3 linked regions of the Oryctolagus cuniculus genome follow. The protein of the gene in region 1 interacts with the protein of each later gene in a pairwise test. Links are inferred from orthologs where the notes say so. Each region holds a gene or a part of one and is shown on either strand. Other genes may lie near its edges.

What was found.
Region 2: the proteins of CUL3 (region 1) and ZMAT4 interact in binary tests that used the Homo sapiens proteins (3 or more experiments, as listed by UniProt). The two-hybrid records come from large-scale screens. The link is inferred for Oryctolagus cuniculus from reciprocal best matches to the Homo sapiens genes CUL3 and ZMAT4.
Region 3: the proteins of CUL3 (region 1) and SHKBP1 interact in binary tests that used the Homo sapiens proteins (3 or more experiments, as listed by UniProt). The link is inferred for Oryctolagus cuniculus from reciprocal best matches to the Homo sapiens genes CUL3 and SHKBP1.

The regions. Positions count from the first base shown.
Region 1 is NC_091434.1:14,714,421-14,718,340, forward strand, and holds part of CUL3 (cullin-3), read left to right. Parts: intron 1-140; coding exon 141-369; intron 370-3,920. UniProt on the Homo sapiens protein: Core component of multiple cullin-RING-based BCR (BTB-CUL3-RBX1) E3 ubiquitin-protein ligase complexes which mediate the ubiquitination and subsequent proteasomal degradation of target proteins.
Region 2 is NC_091433.1:91,224,384-91,228,303, forward strand, and holds part of ZMAT4 (zinc finger matrin-type protein 4), read right to left. Parts: intron 979-3,920; coding exon 822-978; intron 1-821.
Region 3 is NC_091449.1:13,777,543-13,781,462, forward strand, and holds part of SHKBP1 (SH3KBP1-binding protein 1), read right to left. Parts: intron 3,705-3,920; coding exon 3,543-3,704; intron 3,466-3,542; coding exon 3,375-3,465; intron 3,291-3,374; coding exon 3,100-3,290; intron 2,708-3,099; coding exon 2,592-2,707; intron 2,296-2,591; coding exon 2,208-2,295; intron 1,694-2,207; coding exon 1,577-1,693; intron 1-1,576.

The DNA.
Region 1 (3,920 bases):
GTATGAATTTACATAGGGGAAATTATATAAAAATTGATAATCTTTAGGTTATTTAGGCTGATTTATGAGAAAACTCTGTAGAAACCCAATAAATACCTTCTGCATTTTAAAGGAAAAAAAATCATTCTTATTAATTACAGATGGAAAGCCAGAAATTTTTAGCAGAGAACAGTGCTTCCGTATATATAAAGAAAGTAGAAGCTAGAATTAATGAAGAAATAGAACGGGTGATGCACTGCCTTGACAAATCAACTGAAGAACCAATTGTAAAAGTGGTTGAGAGGGAACTCATTTCCAAGCACATGAAGACTATAGTAGAAATGGAGAATTCTGGTCTAGTCCATATGTTGAAAAATGGAAAGACAGAAGGTAGGTGTGTTACCAGTTGAAAATCAGTTAAATTCATATATGACCTATCAATTTTTTTATTCTTCTGCAATTAAAGTAGATTATAAATGTCGGTTTTCAGGAAGTTGTGGTTTGTGTCATTAATTTATTACCTTGTTACTTTCTTTTTTACAATTTTAGGTAGTTCTAGTGAATTGAATGACTTTTCTTTTTCTCCTATCCCTCAAGTCTCCTCACTTTGTTTTTCTTATGTGGACAGTAAGAGGTTTAATAATATTGATGTGACTCGTAGTTGAGCTCCTTATTCATTTCTGTATTTTATTTTTATATAGTGGTGGATTTGGCTACTTACTATGCCCATGTACTCTCAAGTTTTTGTGATTCTTTTAAAATCTGAAATCCACATTTTAAAATTTCTGTAGGATTTTCTGTGGAACTTAATTTTGATAAGTGAGCCAAAATGTAAAAATAAGTTTTTTTAAATTATTAGTAAAATACATACAGGGATATGTGTGATTCCATTATACATATTTCTCAAATGTTGTTAGTACTTGTTGACTTGTAATTTCCTATTAATGAAAACTTGAAACTTTACAATTTCAAACCAACTAAATTATTGAAGGTGAAGCTAAATAAAAATACTGACATATTTAGGAAAACTAATAGATTGGTTTGGAGGAACTCTGAAGTGATAGACTGGTAGAAAAGGAGTAGAAATTACAGAAATTAAAGGTAAGCATTTTTGACCTAATTGTAACATTTATTCTTTAGGGCTTTTTTCTTCCTGTTTAAAAAAAAAAATATTGAGCAGCCTAGGAGAAATATTAGAAGTAGAACAACAACAATCAAAGGATCTCATTCTTCTAAAATTTAAATTTTTCACTTTCTAAACTACTGATAATGGTAATAAACATAAGTAAGCATGATTTATTCTTGCTTTCTTTCCTTGATGAAATCTTAGCAATAACTTAGCCATTTATCCTTACTAAAGGAAATACATGTTTCCTATTGGGTTCATGACCTAAGAAGCAGGGAATGAAAAACATCTTTATGTGAGAGGCAGAGAGAATGCCCCCTTCCTGCTGATCCCCAGATGTCCAAACTTGCAGGAGCTGAGCCTGGCCTGAATTGGGAACCGGGAAATCAATCTAGGTCTCCAACATCATTTGCAGGAACCCAATTAGTTGAGCCATTCATTACCTGCTACTTCTAGAGTACATTTTAGCTAGAATTGGAACTGAGAGCCAGAACCCAGATATGGGCATGCCAGCTGGCATCTTAACCACTCGGCTAACCACCTATCCAGGAAACAGTTTTTCAAAGAAGAGTTGCAAAGGGAGGAAGGTGCATAAGAAAGGAAAAGAAAACTGATAGGAGGAGGGGATTACTCATCTTTTTTTTTTTTTTTTTTTTTTTTTTTGACAGGCAGAGTGGACAGTGAGAGAGAGAGACAGAGAGAAAGGTCTTCTTTTTTTGCCATTGGTTCACCCTCCAATGGCCGCCGCGGCCGGCGCACCGTGCTGATCCGATGGCAGGAGCCAGGTACTTCTCCTGGTCTCCCATGGGGTGCAGGGCCCAAGGACTTGCGCCATCCTCCACTGCACTCCCGGGCCACAGCAGAGAGCTGGCCTGGAAGAGGGGCAACTGGGACAGAATCCGGTGCCCCGACCGGGACTGGAACTCAGTGTGCCGGCACCGCAAGGCGGAGGATTAGCCTAGTGAGCCGCAGCGCTGGCCCATCTATTTTTACTAGTGAAATTCTTGCCTTGTGTTTTTTAATGGTTACATTTCTGTATATGTGACAAATTCATAAAAGTTGTATGTAACTTTGTTGTTTTTATTAAATTTTATTAAATTAAATATCTTAATAAAAGATATTAAATCAGAAACTTCTAATAGGATTTGTCTGATAAACTTGTTTGGTAAAAGCAAAAAAACAAAACAAAAATCATGTTTTAGTTTGTTTGCCATGTTTTATAAAATAAGGTACTCTTGTAACGTTTAAACCGGGGATAGGTGAAGTTCTTTTGGTAAAGGACAAGCTAGTCAATATTTTAGGCTCCGAGGCTATACATTCAATTACTCATCTCTGCTGTCATAGTGAGGATGTAGCCTTAGACAGTAACTCAAATGAATATGCTTGACTGTGTCCGTATAAAACTATTGGATTTTCAGATGTCACTAAATATTTTTCTTTTAATATTTTCTGCAACCATTAAAAAATGTGAAAACCATTTTTAATTTATGAGCTGATCAAAAATAAGTGCCAGCCTGTATTCAGTCCACAGGCTGTAATTTGATGAGCCCTGGCTGAGTAGGACTTTATGAAAAGTGAGAATGATTGTCTATATTAACTGATGTACTATTCAAGGATTGATTTAGTGCTTTCCTGCTTACCTTTAGAATGTGTGGGGAGAGGTGATTAAATACTCAAAAGATTAGGGCTAGGAAATGTTTGATGAAGAGATTGTTGGGATATTCCTGAATTAATACCATCTCTATAACCTGCATGGAGACTTGTGTTAAAGGTATTAATTATGCCTAACATACTTACTTAATGTTTTCAGCAAGTATTTGTGACTCTAAATTAAATTTTTCAATTTTGCCTTCAATTTATTTGAACTGCTGCTGGAAACCTAATTGTGAAATGTCTTAATTGTGGTAGGCCCTGCTCTTGAGCAGTATGTTGAAAGAATATCAGAGACACAACTTCATCATTATGAAGCCAAATTCTCATAAATCAGAAAGTAAAAGACAACTTTGTCACTGTGAATGGAAGATAAAGTTGGATTATTAGATGCAGACAGCACTATGAAATTAAGTTCAAATGGTATCTTTTTATTGTCTTATTAAGTGTATATAGAAATAATGATACTTGATTTTTGAATTTCAAATATTTTTCATTAACTTTTCCATTCTCTACTACCTCATACATTTAAATGAGTACAGTGAAAGTATCTCATACAACATGCAATATCTAAATAAAATTTATAACAACACAAAATACTCAAGTGGGCAACTATTTTGTTAGAGGTATTTATGTCAAATTTACTATTTTACATATTCATAAATAGCTATTGCAATTTTAACACCTATTTTTAAAAGGCGTAACATTTGTATATTCATTATTTGAAAGGCAGAGAGAGAGAGCGCGATCTTCCATCTGCTGGTGCACTCTCCCTATACCGGCGGCAACCAGGGCTGGGCCAGTGTGAAGCCAAGAGCCCAGAACTCCGTTTGAGTATCCAGTATGAGTGGCAGGAACTGAAGTATTTGGGACATTATCTGCTACTTTCTCAGTGGCATTAACAGGAAGCTGGATCAGAAGAGGAGGAGCCAGGACCATAATAGGCACTCAGATAAGATGTGTAGGAATTCCCAAACAGCGGTTTAACCCTCTGTGTCACAGTACCCACTCCCAAAATGTCTATTTTTCATACAGGAATTTTGATTATAATTTATGAAGAATATGAAGGTACTTCAAAAAGATTGTGGAAAAATGGAATTAAAAGATATGTGAAATGTGTGTTTGTAATAGTTAAGATTCCAGTTGGGATACTCATGTTCTGTAT
Region 2 (3,920 bases), on another chromosome or scaffold:
CAAGGAGACAAAAAATGCATTGCCAAATTTTAATTGCATTGAAAGAGCAGACATCATGACGAACACCCCCACTCTAGTAGCACCTTGGCCACAAGACAAACCCCGTCTCGAAGGCATCAGAACAGCATCCTCAGCTTCGCGACTTACACACCTCTGCAGAATGTTTTAAGCGAAGCCATCGGAAGGTCAAATAATCTGCTATCAATATTTAAACTTTCATCTGTCACCGGTAAAGGCAAAGATGACAGGGACGCCTGTTGGGGGGAAAAAATCGCATTTTCTGCAAAATAAAGTGGTTGTTTTTTTTTTCTTAAGATGACAATTGTTCTTCTGCCAACCCCTACCGACTCCCTCACCCACCCACTCAAGGTAAGAACAAGGTGACAATAATAGCCTTTCTTCTGCAGAGCTTGGGAGGGGGTCTGCCTCTCTCACACACGCACACAATACGCTCTCCATTATCCACGCTGCTCACAGACGGAATCCATCCAGCGAAGGACACAATAGCTATAACAGAGCGCATAATACAGAACAGACAGAAGACAGCACCTTGCACCGTGTAAACAGCCGTGCCATAGACGCAAGCTGCTGTATCGCTAACCTACAGGAGCCCTCAGACAGACCAAATGAGCCCCTGGACCTCAGGATCCATGACAGCAGCCGCTGCCGGGGGCGCCCCCGCCCATCCCCCCTCCCGCCCCGTGGGTGACATATGCCGTCAGACCCTGATGCCGCCTGCAAGGAGACAGCGTGATTCACGTGGCTGGCACAGCTTTCGGTTGCTGGTGCCTCCCCCCGGGGATGATCGCTGACACACATACCTGTAGTCTTTAATGGGGTTTTCTCTCCTAGCAACAGTTTTAACCTTTTGGCGTGGATTTTGCCTTGATAATGCGAGTCGGCCACCACGGCAGAGGTAAAGGACATGTTACAGAGAGTGCAGCATTTGTTTTTATCCACCAGATCGGCGTCACTTCCCTGTGTGGGAAGAAAGAGAAAATAACCTTAGAGAGAAACCTAAGCCCTAAGACTTCTTTTTTTTTTTTTAATTTTTCCTTTTGCAAACAGACTAGCTTATGAAAATGTCTTCTTTTTATGATTTATTTATTTATTTATTTGAAAGAGTTACACAGGGAGAGAAGGAGAGGCAGAGAGAGGGAAAGAAAGAGAGAGAGAGAGAAAGGTCTTTCATCGCTGGTTCACTCCCCAGTTGGCCACAATGGCTAGAGCTGTGCCGATCCGAAGCCAGGAGCCTCTTCTGGGTCTCCCATGTGGGTGCAGGGGCCCAAGCACTTGGGCCACCTTCTACTGCTTTCCCAGGCCATAGCAGAGAGCTGGATCGGAAGTGGAGCAACCGGGACTTGAACTGGTACCCATATGGGATGCCAGCACTACAAGCGGCGGCTTTACCCAAAACACCACAGCACTGGCTACAATTGTCTCCTTTTTGTTCTGCTACCTCTTTCTCTCTCTCTCCATGATAGTCACTGGCAAAGCATGCTCAGTGGCTGACTTCAACATCCATTTATTTAGTGTCTACTAATGGCAGAAGCTGAAATCCAGGAAGGAGTTACCCCAAGACAGGTGGAGCCCGCATGGAGGCCGGAGTACATCTGTGTCTAGCACGGGGGGCGGAGAAGCAGCAGCCTCTAATTGCACCCATTATACTCATTAACGTTAAGTAAAATATCAGAGTTCCCAGGGCCTGAATTATTTAGCAGGAATTATCATTTGACATTCAGCTCTGCCTTTCGCCCAGTTCAGCCTCACCAGGATACATGGCTGTGATGTGCAGGACTTTTTTTTTGAATTTTGTTACTTTAAGGAATTGGACATTTTTCATAATTAACTCAAGTCTATATCATGAAGCTACGATGACTGAGCTGGCTGGATTTCCTGGGAGATCTGTGCAATTTCCTCCTTCCTCGGGAAAGGTGATTCGTTAAGTCTGCAGCAAATGCTTAGAGCAGCCTGATTTCAATGCCTTTGTAGGACTTAATGAGAACGAATCATGACTCAGAAGAAGTAAATCCTTTGTCAGATCATGTGGCCTGGCCATTGTGCACACAGGTCGTCAATTGCCTGTATTTATGCAAGGTGGAGATTAATCCTTGCCTCGCCTCCTGCCTCATTGGAAATTGAGGGTAGAGCGGACTCTTAGATAAGGAGTTAATCTATCTCTAAATGGAACAGCAATGGCAAAGCACCTCTTTGTCAGAGAGAGTGCCAGTCCCCACAATGGCCCCTACTCTTATTCCCAGATGGCTCAGACGCTGCGATTTAAAATTGGACAGGGAAGAAGATGAGGGTCTGGACAGGGTGGAGGAAGAGGAATTGTAGACGCTTTTCTGCATAATAATGAGGCATCCAGACTGCTGGAGAAAGCATTGCCTTCCAAATTATGTGTGAGTTGGAAAACTACGCAAGGCATCAGGCTGTGACATCTCTGATGATTGGTTTTCCGACCTTGGGGGAAGGGCTGGGTGAGAGCAAGGGGTGTGTGTGCCCCAGGAGACTGGCCCGCAACTCAGACGTGGCCAGGAAGGAGAGTTCTCAAACACCAGGGGTAGGACATGGATTTTCTGGTAGGAAGTGGATCTCCTGGAGACTGGAGGAGCCTTCTCTTGGAAACTAATGTGGTAGGAAATGGAACAGCCACGGATAGGTGCTGGTAGCTTCCCCTAGGCCACCTCAGCAAGGAAGCCTGGGAGAAGGTTCAGTGTCCTACAAAGGGGACAGCCCGGAAATGCCTGTAAACGGCAGATCGTGGAGTTCCTGAAGGATCCCAGCCATCCAGAGAGGAGTGGGCAGCCCCGGAGGAACAGAGGGTCCAAGCCCGTGCTGTCCCTCCATGTGGAAGACAATGTTTGTTCGTCCCATCATGTTTTAAGAGGAAAGCTTGTCAAGGTGAATGTGGGTGTTTGAATTATCCTAATTTTTTAACCTACTTTTAGCAGGATATAGATCAAAGTGTGTAATATTTTTAAAAATTCAGTCATGAGATCCTAAGACAGTGTTCAACCCACAGTCCTGGGCTCTCGGCACACTGCCTGCTGTGTCCTGAGGAAGCTCCAGCAAGTGCAGCCTCCCTCCCTAGGCCTTGAACATGGAGAACTCTCCAAAGAAAGGCCAGGAGTCCAGACACAGGTGGCTGACACCCCCACACCAAGAATACTCAGGCCGGTGCCGCGGCTCACTAGGCTAATCCTCCGCCTTGCGGTGCTGGCACACCGGGTTCTAGTCCCGGTCGGGGCGCCGGATTCTGTCCCGGTTGCTCCTCTTCCAGGCCAGCTCTCTGCTATGGCCAGGGAGTGCAGTGGAGGATGGCCCAAGTGCTTGGGCCCTGCACCCCATGGAAGACCAGGAGGAGCACCTGGCTCCTGCCTTCGGATCAGCGTGGTGCACCGGCCGCGGCGGCCATTGGAGGGTGAACCAACGGCAAAAGGAAGACCTTTCTCTCTGTCTCTCTCTCTCACTGTCCACTCCTGCCTGTCAAAAAAATAAGAATACTCAGAACTAGCTTTCAGGGCAGCAAACTGTTCCCTGGATTTATGAGATCTGTGCATTCAACACATTCCTAAGGACCTACTAAGTGTGCTGGACACTGTGCTAAATGAACATGGCTCTGCTACCCATTAGCAAAGACACTGGTGCTGGAGGAAGTGGGAGAAGCAGACAGAAAAGAATGGAAAGTTTGCTCATCAAGGAAACACTGTCTTTCATTGCATTCACACTCGCCCAGTTGTTAGGTGTGCAGAGGCTACTGTTGTAGATCAGCTGTTAGTGCGGATTTTATCGTCCAGCCTGCCTCACGCTTGCAGTGCCTTACTACTTCCTGTGCAGCCCAGCCTAGCCAGGCTCTGTCTTCATGGCTTCTCCTGACTCCCTCTACTGCTCTGTGGAGGTGAGCACCAGGCTCT
Region 3 (3,920 bases), on another chromosome or scaffold:
ACGGCTAATGACGGAGACAGAGAGCGAGAACGTGAGAAACAGGGACATGCAGGAAGGACATCAGAGAGACAGACAGGCAGAGACCCGGGGATGGAACTACAGAGATAAACATAGAAAGAGACCTAGAAACACGGAGAACAAGACAAGAAAATGGAACCCAGACGGCCCGAGGGACTCCCAGCCCTGCACTTTCTACCAGGGAAGAATTATAGTTTGCAACTCTCAGAAATTTGACGGAGGTTTCAACACTGTGTGCAGCAGGCACAGCTGTGGGTTAGGGCGACACGTGGGAATGCGGACAGGGAGCGAGCCCAGGGCAGACGGAAGCGGAGCCACGTGACCCGTGCCAAAACGCGCCCACGACGCCTACCCTGTAAGGTGACATGTTAAGCCTGGAAATGGTGGCACGCAGTGGGAGGAACGGAGTGAGTGTAGGAATGAGCGCCTCACATGGAGTAAAGGCCGCACGCCCTGAAGCTGGGGTCATCAGCCAACCTTCTCCTGCTGGGAGACGTGAACTCACACCCCTACCTCACACCCCACAGTCAAGGTAGAGATGGGAGAGACCCGTGTGTGAAAGCTAAAGCGAGAAGCTTCTGGAAGAAAACACTGGGGAATACAGCCCGCGGGTAGGTAAGGACATCTGAAGATTCAGAAAGCACTAGTGACAAAAAACAAAAGCAAACAACTGGGAGTGGGGAGTGGGCCTGGGGGTTAGGCACGGGTCGGCACCAACATCCCCATGGGAGGCGGCTGGGTTTAATGCCCGGCTCTGGCTCCCGACTCTGTAGTTGGCTCCCTGCCATTCATGTGGGAGACCTGGACTAAGTTCCCAGCTCCTGGACTCAGTCCCCGGCGGCCACTGGGGGCATTCGGGGAGAGAAGCAGCAGATGGCAGCTCTCTCTTTCTCTGCCTTTCAAGTAACAAAACCTACCAACCAACAAAACCCGCATGGACGAGTATTATGCTAAGCAAAAAACACCAGACGAAAGGCCACAGCCTTTGATTCCATTTACATGAAACACTCAGAACAGGCAAATCCACAGAACGTGATGGAGACCAGTGGTTCCCAGAGGCTGTCGGGAGCGGGGAAGGGGGTGACGGCTAACGGGTAGGAGCTTCCCACGGGGGGCGATGAGAATGTTCTGGGATTCGACAGTGGCGGTTGTTGTACAACCTTGTGAATATACTTTAAAAGTGTGAACGTTACGTCTTAGGACTTTAATCTCAAACAGAAACCGACCAAAAAACAACCAAAAAACTCTCAAGTAAGAGATCACAGCTTTGTCCCCTGTAGAATGCACTACCCTGTGCTATGTGGACGTGCAAAAGTCACGCCCCCTCGCAGAGATGGGAAAGAAATACAAAGGGGGCCCCAGGGGCCATGGCGCCCCTGCAGGAGCGCCTAGAACAGCTGGGACACAAGGCGCGCTCAGTGGGTGTTTGTTGAGCGACTACATGAGGGTTGGATCCTGCCCCCTTTGTTAAGGCCACACCCATGGGAGAAGACAGCTGCGGGCGGGGCCGGGGCCAAGGCGGGGCTCCAGCAGGGAGGGCAGCGGGGTCTCAGCTTACTGGTCTTGGGGGTGAGGTAGACGCTGAGGGCGGTGACCCCGTCCTCCGCTGGGTCGCGGTACAGCTCGCTGACCAGGAGGTCGTTGTCTTTCATGCGCAGGGGGAACTTCTGCACGTCTGGGAGGGCAGGGGGACGTGGCAGGCTCGCTCAGGGCGCCCTCCCCGTGGCGCTGAGGGGCGTGGCAGGCTCCCTCACGCAGGGGGACGTGGCGGGCTTACTCAGGGCGCCCTCCCAGTGGGGCAGGGGGGCGTGGCAGGCTCCCTCACGCAGGGGGGCGTGGCGGGCTTACTCAGGGAGCCCTCCCAGTGGGGCAGGGGGGCGTGGCAGGCTCCCTCACGCAGGGGGGCGTGGCGGGCTTACTCAGGGAGCCCTCCCCATGGGGCTGAGGGGCGTGGCAGGCTCCCTCAAGACGCCCTCCCCGCCCTCCCCGTGGGGCAGGGGGGTGTGGCAGGCTGGCTCAGGGCGCCCTCCCTGTGGGGCTGAGGGGTGTGGCAGGCTCCCTCAAGCAGGGGAGCGTGGCGGGCTTACTCAGGGCACCCTCCCCGTGGGGCAGGGGGCCGTGGCAGGCTCACTCACGACACCCTCCCTGTGCCCTCCCCCTGCTGTTTCTGGGGGGTGGGGGCTGCTCACCCACGTAGTAGATGGAGCCGTTGTTACAGCCCAGGAGAAGGAAGGAGCCGGCCGCGTCATAGCTGGTGATGGGCTGCAGCTCCTGCACCTGCGGTGGGCGGGACAGGGCCCCTGGAGACACACCCTCCCCAGCCTGTTTCCAGCTGTTCTCCTGCGACCCCTGGGCGTGGGTGGCTCTGTCCCTGTGCTCCGAGTTTCTCCTCCACACTGTATTTCTGGCCTCCCTGAGGCTCCTTAGGCTGCCATCACACTCATCCCCTGGTTCTGGCCCACTGCTGTGTTCTCGGGCTCTCTCCCCAGGGAGGGCACAGAAGGGAACCCACGCGCCAGGTCCCTGCAGGGCAGAGCCTGGAAGCGGGGGCAGCCAGGCTAGCGGAGGCCTACCTGCCAGTGCTTGGTGACGGCGTTCCACACCCCGATGCGCCCTGTGTGGCTCGTGGCGATGAGCTGGTTCCCGACAAAGAACAAGGCCTCCACCGGCACCCCCAGATGGAAGACCCCTGCGGAGGGCAAGGAGGGCTCAGCGGGGGTGCCTGGCGGGGCAGGGGTGGGGGATGGGGAGGGGGGGGAGGACACTGCAGGAAGAACTCCAGGGACCGAGGAGCCGCCAGCTCTGAGGACGCCAACAGGCAGACCTGTCCCGCAAGCCGGAGACTCCTCATGGGGACAGACCCGGGCTCTGCGAGCTTGGAGCGCTCCGGCAAGGCGGGGACCTGACAAGGCAGGGGGCGCCTGGTGGAGGCGGGAACTGCATGTGGGTTTCCCGCGCCGTTCAGGCATGCTAATGGCCGGAGCACCCCGAGGAGCCCGAGATCTAAGGCGGCAGAGGACTGGTGCACAGGCCGCGGGAGTCTGAGGGGAAGAAGTTTCTGGAAAAGGCCTGGGGCCGTACCTATCTCCGAGCCACCGCCTTCTGCCTGCAGGGCCCACAGCAGGATCTCGCCGCCCGTGGCCGCGGCCACCATCTTGTCGTGCTCGCCCAAGGCGCCGCCGGGCACGCGGGCTGTGAGCGCCAGGCGCTCAATGGGCCAGTCCAGGCGGGGGCTGGAGAACACCAGCTGCCAGCCGGAGGCTTCCTTCAGCCTGCAGAATGGGGGACGCCATCACCCCTGCCCTCACGCCCGCCCTGTCCATGGGGCTCAGACCTCCCGGCCCCTCCCTGAGCACCTGTAGCAGACAAGGAACTGGGTATAGGCCACGGCGATCCAGCTGTGGTGTCCGCAGACCAGGCGAACCATCCCCGGCTCCTCGGGTTGCCCTTGGAGGGAAGGGCAGGGCTGAGGGCAGGGTCACGGGGCCCCGCGGGCTGCGCGGACGGCAAGGCCAGGCACCTACCTGACGGAGAGGGTGGGGCCCTCTCATCCGGCATCCGCCCCAGCAGCCCTGCATTGCCCAGGTTAGGGGGCATCGTGTTGCTCCGGCGAACAGGAGCTGGGCGCCCTCCTACCTGCTGGGGTCCCACCAGGCTGTGCCGGCTCCTCCGCTTCACCGGAAACACTGGTGGGGAGGAGGGGCGGGTAGCAACCATTGTAATCCGGCTGTCATTTAGCAAGCACTTTGGATGTGACACAGGCTGACCCCCACGTGGTGTGCGGGGACATGGCGTGTGGTGACATCGGGTCACACAGCAACCCGGGCCCCCGGAGCCCACTGTGCAGCAGGCGGGAGCCCGCTCCCCGGCAGGCACCAGCGCCTGGCCAGTCCACCAGCACT